2 linked regions of the Rhinolophus ferrumequinum genome follow. Each later gene encodes a partner of the first gene's protein in a complex. Links are inferred from orthologs where the notes say so. Each region holds a gene or a part of one and is shown in the gene's direction. Other genes may lie near its edges.

Evidence for each region.
Region 2: TFDP1 (region 1) and E2F4 share a complex: the UniProt entries of both Homo sapiens proteins name them as parts of the DREAM complex. The link is inferred for Rhinolophus ferrumequinum from reciprocal best matches to the Homo sapiens genes TFDP1 and E2F4.

What each region holds. Positions count from the first base shown.
Region 1 is NC_046287.1:55,998,297-56,005,966, forward strand, and holds the start of TFDP1 (transcription factor Dp-1), read left to right. Parts: upstream 1-4,464; 5' UTR 4,465-4,651; intron 4,652-4,662; exon of another isoform or gene 4,663-4,815; intron 4,816-4,881; exon of another isoform or gene 4,882-5,146; intron 5,147-5,535; 5' UTR 5,536-5,598; coding exon 5,599-5,610; intron 5,611-7,670. UniProt on the Homo sapiens protein: Can stimulate E2F-dependent transcription.
Region 2 is NC_046298.1:16,921,332-16,929,532, forward strand, and holds the start of E2F4 (transcription factor E2F4), read left to right. Parts: upstream 1-5,175; 5' UTR 5,176-5,351; coding exon 5,352-5,486; intron 5,487-5,922; coding exon 5,923-6,032; intron 6,033-6,172; coding exon 6,173-6,334; intron 6,335-6,652; coding exon 6,653-6,696; intron 6,697-7,415; coding exon 7,416-7,477; intron 7,478-7,688; coding exon 7,689-7,986; intron 7,987-8,201. Other genes in the region: EXOC3L1 (exocyst complex component 3-like protein), read right to left, coding at 440-550, 760-860, 959-1,084, 1,220-1,337, 1,416-2,028, 2,570-2,789, 2,871-3,046, 3,251-3,296. UniProt on the Homo sapiens protein: Transcription activator that binds DNA cooperatively with DP proteins through the E2 recognition site, 5'-TTTC[CG]CGC-3' found in the promoter region of a number of genes whose products are involved in cell cycle regulation or in DNA replication.

The sequences.
Region 1 (7,670 bases):
AGGTAGGGTTTGTTATACACATAACAAACCTTACTTTTGTTTACCATGCTTTCCCCGGTCACCTCCGCAGAATTGGCCTCCCCCTCATCTTTCTTCATTAGCCAAAGATAGTATTTAAGCTTGAATTCTAAGCCACCTCTGAGAGTTACTCATTTTTCCCCTGGATATCTCCCATGCATATACATGTTCAACTTCTATTTTTCTCTTGTTAGTCTGTCTTTTGTTATCAAGACCCCAGCCAAGAATTTAGAACCTGGGAAAAATTAGTTTTCCTCTCCTAGGGTGTTCTTTGGAGGCGTGTCCTTTGGGAGGTAATTGGATCACGAGGTTGGAGCCCTGAGAGTAGGATTAGTGCCTGTATAAGAGGTCAGGAGCTAACTTGCTCTCCCTGCCCTATGAGGATAAAATAAGAAGGTGGCCATCTGCAATTTAGGGAGAGGATCCTCACTGGAACCTGACCATGTTGGCACCGTTCTTGAACTTCCAGTCTCCAGAGCTGTGAGAAATAAATTTCTGTTGTTTATTAGTCACCCTGTCTGTGGTGTTTTGTTATGGCAGCCCAAGCTGATTAAGACAGAGATGTAAGCAGCTACTAGCATTTTCCAGGACATGTCCTTGTCTGCTTGTGCACACACAAACACACACACACTCATAAGTGTGCACATGCACACACACATCTCTATATATATTCTCAGCGGGTCACAGCGTATCTAAACGTCACCTTCTCTGTGAAGCCCTCCCTTCTGCCTGTAGGAGAAAATAATTGCTGTAATCTGGTTCTGTGCTTCCATATTTCTCTTTCCTGGTATAAACAGTCTTGTCTCCTCATGTCATGTATGTCTGTGAATCGGTCTCTCCTGTTTGACTCTGAGCAATCCTCTATTTTATTAATCTGTATAGTATCAGCACGCAGAGTACTATCTGGCACGTATTTGGAGCTCAAAAATGTTTCCTGAGTGAGGAATGCAGGAAAGGTAAAACTTTTGAAATTGTGGTTTATCTTCTTATCAAAGAACTATGTTTTTATCTACTTATTTCTCAAAAGAAATATAAAAGCTAAAGGAATCTGAGCATCAGAGAGGCTAAGCTTACTTATCCAAGGTCATTTGACTTCCCTTCATCTCAGCTTCCGGTGGGCTCTAAGGTTCTTCTCTGAATGTGTAAAATACGTGGACAGGTAGCAGAGAAATGACTAAAGGCAATCAGTTGTACAGAAAGTCAAGTATCTTGCACTTGTGCGGTAGGTCCCTGGTACTGCTTTCACTCCTGGCTGACGGTAAATTGATTCAATTGAGGAAGGAAATGATATAAGGAGAACAGGGATCTCTCAACTTTACGCTGTAGGATTCCACAGAAAATAATCTGGATATTATTTTAGCCAGGACAATGTGAAGTCACATAGAAGGAACACTTTAGAATTGTGGAGTTAAAAGACAAAGAAATGAAAGGGATTTTTTTCATTGCAAAAGCCAGAGAACATTACAGATGAAAAGCAAACAAAAAGTGTCCAAGTAGTAAACAAGACTCGTAAGAGCAATTTGAGTATATTGGATGCTGTAATCTAAAATTTGTCAGATCCAAGGGGCACTTTTCAAAGCACAGTGGCTTCCGCTTGCAAGTGATTGTACAAGTCTTTAAGACTAATATTAAGAGTATAAAATACAAGAGGGTCGACTGACCCTCCTTCCAAGAGAAGGATTTGACCAGAAATTTTCAAAAGGACTCATGATGTAACGAGGAGTAAAAAAATTAAAGATGTCTCCATGTCTAGGTGGTGGGATGAGGGCGGCAGAATTTCTCTGTATACGGGGCTTAGAAATGGTGATTTCTTTAGGGAGAGGCCCAGGGGATTTATCTTGAGGTTGAGCCAAATACACTGATTTGCTTATGTTTTATGATACACACAAATTAGCAGAACAAAGTTTTCTAAAGATGCCTTTATTTATATTTTACCCAAGAAGAAAATGTTTCTTGTTCATAGATCCAGGAACATACCCCTCCCACCCCCCTGCTGAAAGTTCCATGAGCCCTTGTCCCCCTCCATCTTCCCACACCATTGCCACAGTAACCCAAGAAGGTGGAAAACAGGAATGGCTGGAGAAAAGGCCAATGTTATTGAGGAGGAAACCAAAGACAAATTGGATATTTAACAAACACATTTAGAATAAAAAATTTCGAGGGATTAGAAAATTCTCTCTTTAAAGGACAGTTTAATGGGGGTAGGGGCTGGGGGGTATGAATTTGGATCACGCTCTGAGACTCAACAGAGCAGACACACCAAGATGAGGAATATTGTTGGGAGATGAGGGCTTTTACTGGGAAGGACCCAACCACTTTCTTCTAACATGGAACAGAACAAGTTTCACGTGATATCCTAGACGACAATACAGGGCTGAATGCCAGTGCCTAGGAGGTGGATCAAGTCAACACCTAAATGAAAGCCTCACTAAGTTATGCTCCCAGATCATGGACCCCGCCCCCAAATATGGATTGGAAATGGCAGGATTAGATGAATAAGGGGGCTTTGGGACCAAAACTCTTCAAGAAGGCTGCACTTCTGCAAGTCAATCCACAGAGATTTCAAGGCGAGGCAGTGGGTAAAAATATTTGGATCTTCAACCAAACATTTTAGAATTCTGTTATCTTTTAACACAGAAACAGGGTTTTGTGGGATACTTGACTATAGAGAAGCCAAAGGAACAACTTTTTGCCTGTTTCCCAACTAAACCAGACTCAACAAGCTCTCATTGCTGTAGTAGCTCTTGCGAGTTCAGAATATTTAATTAGTGATTTTTGTGCAGAATTTTTTTTTACTATTAGAGATAGTTATCCTGTGTAAACACTGCCGAATGACTGGAATCTTGAATCCATAAGAAGTTTAAGATTCGTACTCTAAATCCTCCATTTCTTAATTCTGAGCCCCCAGTTCTCACAAAGAGGCTGGCTGCCGTGTACACTTGGGTCCAAGGACTAGAAGGGGGGCTTCCAGCTATTATTTGGGGGTGAATATTCGAAAGAGTCAAAAATAAAGAATTCCTTTGAAAGAAAATGGAGCTAGAAACATACCACTGAAGGAATAAAACACAGGAATGTATGTTCGGATATCATGGGTGGAGAGCTGAATACACTTCACCAGCAGAGAAATAAGGTGTTCTGACTGCAGGATGCATAGGGCTTTCCCTCTCTAAGCCTTCTGTTCAACCCTATCACCCGACCATCCATGTTTCTCTAAGTGCCCATTGTATGCTAATCAGCAGAATGGGAAGATTTTTGCTGTCTTCAAGAAACCAATGTTAATTAAGGTGTTAACACGTTAAGTGGTGCATTAGAAGCCGGAATGGGTGTGATCAGCATAAAAGTGGTTAAATTGTGAAACCATGCTAGGTGGGGTGTAATGCAGAGAGGTCTTTGCTCTGTGCTCAAGTCCTGAGACATTAATTATGCCCTGGCTCACTGCGCACCACAGCCTGGTGCAGCCCTGAACTTTGGACTTGACTCCCAGGCCTAGCCTCTGGGGCTTAATCCTCTGGGGGCTGTGGGCTCCAGGGGGCACTAGTCACCTGGGCTAAGGGTCCACCAGGCCCACGCAGTGATAAGGAACAACCTTGCTGCCCGGTTTACCTCCCTACTACATGAAGGACCATCATCTGGGCACAAGCCAGGCGTTGATGTGGAGGCTCCAAGTCCAGCAGAGGCAGGTGGACAGGGCTCTGCACTGCATACGCACACATCGTACCTTCCACGCACCTGCACACTCATGGGCAGCCTGCCGTCCTTGCGCACATACATACACATGCACTCACCCAAACACACCCACGTGCACAGCCTGTCTTTCTCCTCGAGTACACATACACTCGTGTGTGCACACACCTGAACTTTCCTCCACGTGTCCACACAGCCCCCTTCATCCCTCATGTGTGCACATCTGCAGGTGCACAGAGCAGCCCCCTCTCCGCTGTGTATGCACATAATACCTGTGCCCACAAAATCTGTTCACTTCTGCCTTTGTGCACACACCTGGCCACCTCTCTTCTTTGCGTGCACATGTGCATATACACCCAGTTCCCTTTCCTGTGTGCATATACACCTGCGCACACTCTCAGTCAGCCTCCCACTCATCTGTGTGCGCATATTCACAGGTGCACACACGAGGCTCCTCTCCTCCGTGTGCACAACCCCTGACCCGTCTCACATGTGCGCACGAGTGTTCACACACATTCCAGCCTCTGTCCCCGTGTGCGCACATGTGCACATCCCACCGGCTTTTCTTCCCCGCGCGCGCACCGCCGCGCACTGGCGCCAATCCCTGCTCGGCGCGCACACGCACAGCCCATCCCCCTCGGAGTCTAGCGCGGGCAGCCCGGGCGGGAGGAGGAGGAGGAAGAGGGAGCCGAAGGCGCGAAAACGCGCGCAGGCGCGCTGCGGGAGCCGGGCCGCCCCCCACGTCACCGCGCCGCGCACGTCACGCCGCCCGACGCCCGCTCGGCAGGGTGAGCCCCGCGCCCGGCGCCTCGCAGGGCAGGACCCTGGGCCGGAGCGCGCGCCGGGACTGCCCACGTCTCTGTGTCCGCGTGTCCGAGCCCGCGCGTCCGAGCCCGCGCCCGCGCCCTCGTGCCCACCCCCGCGTGTCCGTGCGCCCACCGCCAGCCAGGTGCGGCAGGCAGGGGGCTGGCGAGGGCTAGGGTCCCGGGAGGGGCGCGGGCACGCGGGGCGCCCACTGGTCCCCCGTCCTCCTTCCCTGCCGCGTGTGCGCGCCCCTCCCGGCTCCCCGGCCTCCTGCCCCTGGTCCTGGGCGCCGCCGTCGGGGGCTCCCAGGTGACTCGGCCGTGGGGTCGGGGGTCCCGGGTCCCCCTTGGGGCCTGCAGGTGGCCTTCAGGCGGAGCAGCAGCACCGGCGTCTGCACCCGGTGGGGGTCGGGGTCCGCCGGTGCGCAGGGGGTCTAGGGGTCCGCGGTGCGCGGAGGCGGCGCTGACCCGGACTTGGCCCGCCCGACTGCCGGTTCCGGCGCGCGGGAGGCGCTCGCGACGAGGCGGTCGCGGCCTAGTGACAGGCCGGAGGCCGGACCCCGGAAGCCCACCTGTCAGAGTTACCGGCCGGCCGGGTGGGCGAGGGGAGCGACCCAGCCGGGACCGAGGCACTCCTTGGGGTGCGCATTTGCGCAGGGACAACGGTGCTGCGCCTGGCGGGGGGTAGCCGGGTGTCCTTAGTTGCGCCCAGGTTGCGCGGGCGCAGGCTGGGTGCCAGGCCCGACCGGGTGCCGGGTCTTTGTGTGGGCATCGGGGAGGACAGGGGTCGTCAGGGAGCCAGACTGGGCATCCTATTGTTGGATGCATTTCCCTTTGCTGAGATGACTTAAAATCCCAGGTTGGGGGGTGGGGGTTTGCCAGCTGCGCTTTGAGGATGCAGTGTGGGTTTGGAATGGAAGGTGCCTGCTGCCTGGAGGGGCAGTCAGATTGCTGGTGGTACTGGGGGAAATGTTGATATTAACTTCTGGTTTTATTCTTACTTATTTATTTTTCCTTCCCTCTTTACCAGAAAAATCATTTTTCTTCTCTGGAGGGTGAACATTTATAGCATCGATTTCACGGATCTGGTAACATGGCAAAAGATGTAAGTATGTTTGCTTGGTTTTACAGACAGATGTTTGCCTAGCACTACACTCTTTGTAGTTTTCCCATTTTATTTCAGAAGGACGACACAAACTACAGTACTGTGTATTTTCAGACTTTTAAAGCACATGAAATAGGATAAAGATGAAAGAAATTTATTAATAATAGCTTTTATGGAAATGTGTGTGATTTGCTTCAGCAGCTGGGTTTTCAGTCTTAAAACACTGGGTGACAAACACTGCATGAGGCTATACGGTATCACTGACTTTTTCTTCTTTTCAGAGGGTATTAACTTACAATTTTTAATATCTTTGTTGAAGAACACACTGAGTTGGGTGAGATGGAGGGCTGGGCCCAGGGTGACTGGTGGTGTGACCCTGAGCACCTGGTTTGTGGAGAGTGTAGGAAGTTAATTCAACTTTGATGGATAAAGTGCTGAGTGCTTGTTTTGGCCACTTTTTTCTCAGAAAAAATCTTGGTGGTTAATGAAACGAACCCTACTTTAGCTTGTTTTGTGTTTGTCATGAAACACTAAAGTATAGTGAATAATTTTTTTAACTTGTTCCAAGAACTAAGCTTTTGGATCTAAAAATGTAGACTATTTTATTGGTTATGTAGTTCTTACCACACTTTGTCATATCACTTAAAGTCATGGAAACCCCAGTTCTGTCCTTCAGTGTTTCTCAGAATGCGTTGTTCTGTAAGCCTTAGTGAGAAGAGGCTGTTTATTTATTTACTTACTAATTGCACAGAGCTGGAAATGTGGCTCAGATAAACTGCATCTGCCTGAAACAACTAGAGGTAGTAAAAATGTGTCTGTAACCAAAGAATAGAGGCTTTCCGCCTTTCCATCAGTTCAGTGGTTTTAGTATTCTCTAAAAAGGCTGAGTGAGAGCCTCCTACACTCTCCCGACTGTCAGGCACGCACTCACGTTTGCTCCTGTCTTTCCATGCTGGGTTTCATTTGGTAGAGAGTGTATGAACACACAGTTGCACCCTGTGTGGTGTGTTTTAAGTTAAAGTTATAATCCGTATATAATATTAGGTTGATTTTATCACGTCTAATTGCATTTGTTGATGGCCACATCCTGTTCTCTGGCACATATACACCAAAGGGGCAAGACGGGTAGTATGTGCTCACAGCAGAATAATTAGGGATCTTGAAGAGGGCGCTGCTGTACCCCATGCTTCTGTTAGAGTGCAGTTCTGGGGTTGTGTGTTTCAGGGAATCAAATTTATTTGCCCTTTTTTATTAACCAACTAGAGGAGAGGGAGTGACTCCGTGTTTGAGAGACTCGCTTTGATTCCCTGCTGGCCTCGGGGATGTAAAGACAGATAGTAGAGGCCACTGCCATCTGGTTGCAGGAAGAAGGGCTTGGTAAACAACCTTTTCCGACATTCACTTCTGGAGAAGCAGCCCCTGCAAAGTGCGGGGGCAGCTGCGGGCCGCCTGCTGGCTGAATGGCAGGGTGGTTCCCCTGGAGCTATGAGGTTGGGTCGTGGGTGCTTTGGTGATAGTGGGTAGTCTAGGCCGAGAAACGGCCTACGGTGAGGTAAGTGGCCTCCCTGTCCCTAGAGCTGGCTGTTGCCAGGAGCCGCTGGAACCACGTTTCCCCGGGACTGGTGGGTCACGCTGGAAATGGAGATCGTGGCCAGTGAAGGGATTTACTTTACTTCGGCCTTTTCTCTAGGTACCTTATCTTTTTTAAGTAGGGGAGTGACATGTGAGTTTGGAAAGATGACTTTGGCAGCCAGTGTTGGAGGGGAAAGCAGCAGCCGTTAATTGAAGCCATAGCGGTACAATTTTTCTTAGGTGTAACATCAAGGCCTACAGCACAGGTGGGGGCCGAGCCCTCAGGTTAAGGTGGAGTGGGTTGGGACCCCATCTTTGCAGAGCTCTGGGGGTTCCATGGGAGGCTATTGGGGCCCAGGGAAACTAGAGGGGGCTGGAGTTAGGTTTTGGGGATCATAGTGCAGGACAAACTTAGGGGACCACTGAAGTGTCAGTCTGGCAGATTTTGGTGAGGAGGATGAGGGAAAATGGTATGGCAGTTTCTTACC
Region 2 (8,201 bases), on another chromosome or scaffold:
CGTAAGACCCACGAGGAAGGGATTTTTTTTCTGTTTTGTTCACTGCTGTAACCCCAGACATTATCTGGCACAGAGTAGGAGCTGGTAAGTATATGTTAATATGTTAATAAATGAATGCTTGAGACTATGTGCCAGGCATTGTATTGTGGTAGGTACTTTACATCTGTTATTGCATGTGATTCTTACCCATATAATATAATATAATATAATATAATATAATATAATATAATATAATATAATACTAATAAGAAAAGTGACATTCAGAGAGATTTGGTAACTCGCCCAACGTCACACAGCTAGTAATTAGTAGAACTGGGATTGGAACCCCAGAGCTATGTGAGTCCAAAGTTCCTAATGGCCCAGTGTGGCTGGATAGGTACCTAATAGATATTCAGTCAGGGGTTAGTGAAGGTGGCATTCTGTGGGAGACTTCTGGTACCTGAGTGCTGATTGGTGGTTGAGGGCAGCCAGTAGGTAGGACACGTAATGAGGGGCCATTGCTTCCCCTCTGAGGTGGTCTCGGGAGAATCGAATCAGGGCATCACTGAAGCTGCAAAGGGCAGAGGTGGCTTTTGTACCTGCTGTCATTCTGGCGCCCCAACAACCTCTGTTCCGGGTACTCTAGCCCCACCTCCAAGATACTCAAGGCCCTGTTTGAAGGAGCCTTTTCCCACTGGCGGGCCTTATTCACTCGGAGCCCCTTTGGGCTGCCCCAGGAGCAAGACCAGGTGTTGGGAATGGATCAGTGCCTTGGCAGACCTTCTCAGGAATGCTCCCAGTTCTGACAGTGCCATGCCATGCACCCGCCGCTGCAGTGACTCACTGACCAGGCTGCTTACTCGAATGTTCTCTTCCAGGATCTACAGGCAGGAATGGGCAGCCATTAGCAGAGTCCTAGTCCTGCCCTCCTCCCCTTTCCCTATGGGAGCTGCCCACCTGCCCGCCACTTCCCACTCACCTGAAGCACGATGGCTGGCATTGGTGAGTGGTAAAAGCCAGATGGGTCTGTGTCAGGCTCCTGCTCCCGGCCCCACTCAGCTACTTCCCCATCCAGTGCTTTCTGCAGCCACTGCACCACATTTGCCTGGGGGAAGGGATGAGGGGCAGCAGGATATAGCAGGGCACTGACCCTGCTAGAGACAGTTAGACATGTGACTTTGCAAATACAGGCACACAACTGGTAGCAGAGCTTCTCTGGACCTGGGCCCCAACTACTCACCTGGACTTTGGACACAAATGTTGCCTCAAGCTGCTCAATATTCTCCAGGGTCAGGAGGGGCTCCAGCTGAGACACGTCAGCCTCAGGCCCCAAGTCCAGGCTCCCCATCATTTCTGGCCTGGTGATAGGTGGCCAGTGTCACACTGAGCCTGCAGCTTCCGATCCACCCACTTCCCATTGCCCAAAGCGCACTGACCCCAGGTACACATGTAGTGCCCAGTGCAGTAAGGTGAAGGCATCAGCAGCTCCCAGCTCAGGCCCTTCCAGGAATTGCTGTAGGCAGCGGCGCAGGCCACTATGCAGGGTGTGGGCCCATAGCTGGACCACCCTGTAGTGCGGTGGGCAGCAGGGTGCTATTAGTGCCTCAGCTCTGGCCAACTCGGCTGGTAGAGCCACCCGCAGAGCCTCCAGCCACCCTGCTAGGGCCCCTGGCCCAGGCAGCAGATGTGTCCCAAAGTGGACCTGCTCCAGGCCCTCCTGTAGTGCCCGCAGACAGCGCTGCCGCCAGTCCCGGGGGGCTTGCTCCAGGGAGGTTGTGCGGCCCGTCTCCACCTCCGCCACACGCACAGCAGCCACCAGCAGGGCTGGGTCCTCCCGTGCCAGCTGTCCTGCGGCCCCTACAGCCGCCTCCACAGCCTGGCCCAGTGCCTCCGACAGAGGGCCCAACCCCTCGAAGATTGGCAACTCCAGGTGCCCCAGAGATGCCCATGTCTCCTCTTGCAGCTGCTCAAGCTCCCGAAGGCTCACATATGCCTCCAAGAGCCGTTGGGCATCAATCAAGGACTGTGTGTGGGCCACTGCAGCTGGCACTAAGGAGGGAAAAGAGGAGACCGCCCTGGGTCTCAGCCTTCCCACCTGTGCAATGGATACAGGATCAGATGCGGAGGTCCTGGGGCTGGGATCATGTGTAAAATATTTAATAACCAGTATAGTAGAGCATTAGCCAATCTGAAAGGATCCACGGAAGGTCCTAGAGGCCTGGTGGGCCAGGGGTAAACCCTTGAGCTAAAGGAACATGAGGAAGTCAGGGATCCTGGAAAGAAGGCAGAGAAGAACTGGAGGATCATTCTAATGGCTATTCACCCACTCTGTTAGGGAAATATTTCAATTTAACAACAAGGATGGCCAGAGCCACTTGACTGGGTGTCCTTTCTGACTCAGACATCCCATGCTCAGGAACACCAGAATGAGCTAATTTGCACCCTGCTTCATATGCCATCTGAAGCCTGAGTTACTTTCTGGGAGGTTCCTGGTGTGGCCCGCCACGCAATCTCCCACTAGTGTCCCAGCCCCTTGATGGGTGTTGACTGACTATTGGATGGTTGAGGCCCAGGGCCCCTGCATACTCACCTGCCTGCAGCCGGGGCAGCAGCTGAGACAGGGCCTGCAGTTGTTTGTGCTGGCTGACCTGCTCCCGCAGGGGCTCTAGTGCCTGTACAGTCTCGACCATGCCCCGGAGCAACCCATGGGCCTGGCCCAGGGCCTCACGGGCTTCCTGCATGGCCTCAAGGCCCTGGGCCAGCTGCCACACACCAGTCTTCACACCCTCCAGGTATGACTGCACCACTGACTGTGGGAGGGAGGCAGCCAATGAGGCCTGGCCAGCCCTGCCGCCCACCCCCAGCACTCTTGCCCCCTGCCTGATGCCCACCTTCATGCGTGCTTCCAGGGAGCAGGTACGCTGCACCTCACGGCTGCGGTACTGGCCCAATCTGGCCAGCTGCTCCGGCCGGTAGAAAATGCCTGAGGCCCACTTGAGTGCTGCACCCCGGGCTAGCCGCTCCGCCCTCTCCTGCTCCGGCCACTCAGGCCCTGGGCAGGAAGAGCCTGGGCAGCCATGTCAGTTGGGCAGGGCCTGAAGGAAGCAGCTGCCGAACCTGCTCCCCTTCCTGCTCTTTAGTCTGGCCCCCAGGGTGGTCCACTCATCTCACTGACCCATAGAGCTCCAGCCAGACTTGGCAAGGACCCAACCCCACCATTCCCCTCTTTCTTGCCACATCCCTCTCCCAACCCACCCGGAAGGTCTCATACCAGGGAGAAGTGCAGGCTGCATTTCGTTCTTGGTTGTTGAGTCCATGGCAGGCCCCGCAGGAGCTGGAGCTGAGGTGGGAGTCGGGGCAAGAATGTGGGTTAGAGCAGGCAGAGTGGATGCTCCTTTGAGATGCAGGTTCTCCCTAGGCCCCTCCAAGGAGGAAGAGGGAGGTTCTTGTCCAGCCCCCTCCAGAAATGCAAGGGAGGTGGTATGACGGACAGATACCCGGGAAGCCTTCCCCTGCTGGGTTTCTTAGTTTTGCCCTGTGCAGATGCCAAGTGAGGCAGGGTAGGCACAGACCTCCCCTGCTGAGTGGCAGAGGACAGTCTGGTATGGAACTCACCAGGCCCAACCAGGCATCCAGTCCTCCGCCCTCCTCACACAGCCTTGGCCTTGAGATGGCCCTCTCCCCGCTGCCCTCACAGCAGAGCTGGACACTCCCTCCACTAGCTCAGAGGGCCTGGGTGGCCCTGGCCCACACCTCAGCACACAGCAGAATTCCTCTTCCCAAGGAAGCCTGTGTCCTACCTCCCTGCCCAGGCGCCCCTTCCTCCCTCCAAGCTCCCTCCCGCCCCAAGGCCACGTAGAGAAAGGAAGGAAACTGAAACTCTGGCATTTTATTCCCAACAGGAAAGAGCATCTGCACTGTGGGATGGGGTGGGGAGGGCAGGGCGCCACTTCCTTGGGGGGCGGGGAGTCCACCCAGGACCTCTTAGTGCTCAGGACACAGACGCGAAGCAGATGGCCTCAACCTGGGGTGCAGAGGGGGTTGTGCAACATGGACGCAGACAACAATGTCACAACATGAAAACTGTGTTGATGGGCCCCTCAGAGGAGGGTGTGCACCTCTACAGAAGAGTGAGAGATCACAGGCTGCTGTGAAGAATGCTTGTGGTAGGTGATGGCAGGAGAGGGGCCCAAGGGGTATGAAAGCTGTTTATCTTGAGAGTTAAAGGGGGCCACAGAAGGGACTACAGGGTAGTTAGTAATAATGTAGTGGTCATTGGTGAACCATCCAAATCTACCCTTCAGGACAAAGGCACTTGTTCCCCTAGTTGCCAGGAGTGTAGGCTGCTGAGATCTCACAGCTGAGTCTCTGGGTCAATTTTGAGGTACAAAGGCCCAGTACCTTTGCCTGGATGTGGAACACCTTGGAAAGGCCACCCTAGTTTCAGAGCCTCTCCTAGTAGGATGGGCTGAGGCCTCTATTTTAACTGCCTCGCAGTTTAATTCCTTCTCTGTCCAATTCTGTTTGTCTTACTTCCTTATGAGCGTGGATCCTCCAATAAAGGGATTTGCAGGCAGATCCCTGTCTCAAAGTCTGTTTCCCAGAGAACTTGATCTAAAATGAAAAATAATAAATGATAAATAATGACAATGTTAAAAATAACAAAATGATACCAGCAAACACATAATTCTTCCTACATGCCAGGAACTGCTTTAAGTACTTTACATATATTTATACACCGGTAAACATGTTTGCATAGGCTGAAAACTGGTTATAATTCCATGGTCTCTGACCACTGCAGTATGGAGACGATGAGGCTGGAATCAGGGAAGGGGAAAAAGGATGGAGACAAGTGGACAAGCTAGATATAGTTAGTGCTTTTGTTTGGCAGAAAGTGAGGTATGAAAATAGGGTGGATGACCCCAAGAAAGTAGGGCAGCTTCCAGGAGCAGAATTGGGAAAACATATTGGGTTCATTAGGCAACATGATCTCTTTTCCTAAGATGGGGGGCTGGGACAGAGTTAGTGGAGTTGGGGCAGGTTGGCCAGTCAGGAAGGTTCTGGTGGCTCCCCTTTTTCTACTGCCGGGATTGCCCACCGACTTGTTCCACATGCTTCTACACCATGTCCTGTCTCCCGGGATTTGCGGGTTGTTTTCGTCCTTTTCGGCGGTTGGACATTTGCTGATGGTCCCCGAAGTTTTGCGACCGTGCCGGCAGAGAGGCATTGCGCCAGGTTCCCTGGGAGAGCGCGGAGCGGAAGCGGAAGCAGATACGCTGGCGCCGGCGGCGGGGTGGCCAGGAACGGAAGCGGAAGTGGCGGCGGCGCCGGCCTGGCCTGGCCTGGCTGAAGGGAGGCGGCAGGCTGGCGCGATGGCGGAGGCCGGGCCACAGGCGCCGCCGCCCCCGGGTACTCCAAGCCGGCATGAGAAGAGCTTGGGACTTCTCACTACCAAGTTCGTGTCGCTTCTGCAGGAGGCCAAGGACGGCGTGCTTGACCTCAAGCTGGTGCGGCCCGGGCTAAGGGAAGACAGGGGTGAATGGTGGACCAGGCCTGGGCCGGTAGCGGGAACCCCCGGGGCGGCCCAGCGGAGCCCTCAGAGAGCAGGCCACCATCCGTGCGTTTTCTCAGAGGAAGGAGGCCGGGAGCGGTTTCATTCATTCGGCCGAGGCCATTGGGTGTCCGCTATGTGCTAGTCTCCGGGCTGCAGGTGCTGATCCTCGTGGCCCTCCCCGCCTGGTGTGGGGAAAAGAGCATCAGCATATCAGTCCAGGGTGCGCCAGGCCTCTTCCCGCCCCGCGGTCCTGAGTTGCTGTAGTGCCTGGGAGGAGGGTTGGGACCTAATCCACCCCCTTTTCAGACCGCTCCAGACCAAGTCACAAGGTAGCTGGGGGTACACCTGAGAGTGGGGTTGAGCATCCTCCACTCTCTTCTGTGTGCCAGGCAGCTGACACCCTAGCTGTGCGCCAGAAGCGGCGGATTTACGACATTACCAACGTGCTGGAAGGTATTGGGCTGATCGAGAAAAAATCCAAGAATAGCATCCAGTGGAAGTGAGTGGGGGCACCTGGGAGGGTAATGGGATCTCCTATCCAGAAGTGCCAGGGGTGGGGGGTGGAGGGTGCAGGAGAGAGCAGGGGCCATGGGACCCAGAGTTTCCCAGCAGCTCCTCAGCCCCACTCCCTGCACTCAGGGGTGTGGGGCCTGGTTGCAATACCCGGGAGATTGCGGACAAGCTGATTGAGCTCAAGGCAGAGATCGAGGAGCTGCAGCAGCGAGAGCAAGAACTGGACCAGCACAAGGTGTGGGTGCAGCAGAGCATCCGGAACGTCACAGAGGACGTACAGAACAGCTGATATCCTCCTGGCAGTCCATGCTCCCGGGGAGTGGGCGAGGGCCCCTCTAGTCATCTGGGTTTGCTCTGTGGTGCCCCGGGCTGTATCCCTCTTGGGAGGATGGTCCTGCAGCTTCTGGCCAGGTCCCAGCCTCCGGCTCCCCTCTCAGAGCTCCTCTCCCACCAGTCTTGGCCTGTGATCCGTCTCCGCATAGACCCCAAGCCCCAGTACTTCTGAGGGCTTGTATGACAGACCTCTCCTAAAGAGCTGGGTCTTCTCTGTGGTCTGCCATCTGTCACCATAGGCAGGGCCTCAGTCGTTCTCCTTAACCCCCACACCTTGGCCTACGTGACTCATGAGGACATCTGCAGATGCTTTGCTGGTGAGCAGAGCCTGGGTCGGGGGAGATGGGGGTGGGGCTGGGCTGAGCCACAGCCCTGAGCAGTGGGCTCAGTACCCAAGGAGAGTTACATCTCTTCAGAGGGTTCCTGGGGCCTGCCCAAAGAGGAACCAGGCAGGGTAAGTCCTGGGTTTGAGGGTCACTGGGATCCTGTGGAGGCTAACCATACTAAGAGGGTACAACAGTCGTGGGCTGGGTCCCTGGGTCAGCCCCCATCTGCACCGGCCCCTGGTTTTGGCTTCTCAGGTGTGATGGGCATAAGGGGGGGTGGTGTGTGCATGCTTGTATGCTGAGGGCAGTGACTCCCACTTTCAACTTATAGTTTATTGCATTATGGATACAGGAACTGTTCTTTCTCCATCTTGCACCCCACAGACTGGTTCTGAGGAAGGGATGTTGGCTTTGGCCAGAACACCTACACTTAGGGAGCAGCCCCGTCAATTGAGGAGTGAGGTGCCCCTGGCCAGCAATCTTTCGTCCCACATGTTTGAATCCAGATTTTCTGGTTACTAACCACCCCCTGGGCTCTTGGAAGGAGACAAGCTTTAGTTCTCTGCCTCAGCCACTGTGGGGGATGGGTGAGACCCCCTGTCTAGCTTCTCAGAGACTGTGATTTCCTTCCTTGCTCCAACGGACAGGCACCCCTATTCCCAGCTCAAACTGAGTCCCTGGAGCCTGACCCATTCTCCTTGTTGTTCTAGGAGACACCCTCCTGGCCATCCGGGCTCCATCGGGCACCAGCCTGGAGGTACCCATCCCAGAGGTGGGTGCTCAGACCATGCAGGCGGGGTTGGTTGAGGGCGGGTGCAGGCTGTAGAACCCGATAAGTTCCGGGTGGGGCAGGTAGGTTGAGGCCTGGGGTTCGGGGTTATCTAGGAGAACGGGCAGCCTGGGGTGGGAGAGGACACTGGTCCTGGCCCAGAGTCAGGCAGGAGCCAAGACTGCTTCCAACTCCTCCTGTCCCACACCCCCAGGGCCTCAATGGGCAGAAGAAGTACCAGATTCATTTGAAGAGTGTGAGTGGCCCCATCGAGGTGCTGCTGGTGAACAAGGAGGCATGGAGCTCGCCGCCTGTGGCAGTGCCTGTGCCACCCCCTGAAGATCTGCTCCAGAGCCCACCTGCTGTCTCTACCCCTCCAACTCCACCCAAACCTGCTATGGCCCTGACCCAGGATGCCTCACGCCCAAGTAGTCCCCAGATGACTACCCCCACCTGTGTACCCGGCAGCATCGAAGCCCAAGGGGTGACCAGTCCATCAGCTGAAATCACAGGTGAGGCAAGATGGGCATCTGGATGGAGTGATCTCTGGGGCCCAAGAGGCAATACTTCTGTATTGTGGGATGCCATACTCGGAGTTGTAAGAGACCCTATGGGGGTTGTCCCTTTCATGGCCACCAACTGGCCTTCCCTTGCGATGGCGGGGGAGCCCTTTTTAACAGGCAAGCTCTGACTGTGAAGGGGCATTAGTGGTAGCAGTTTTTCCCCA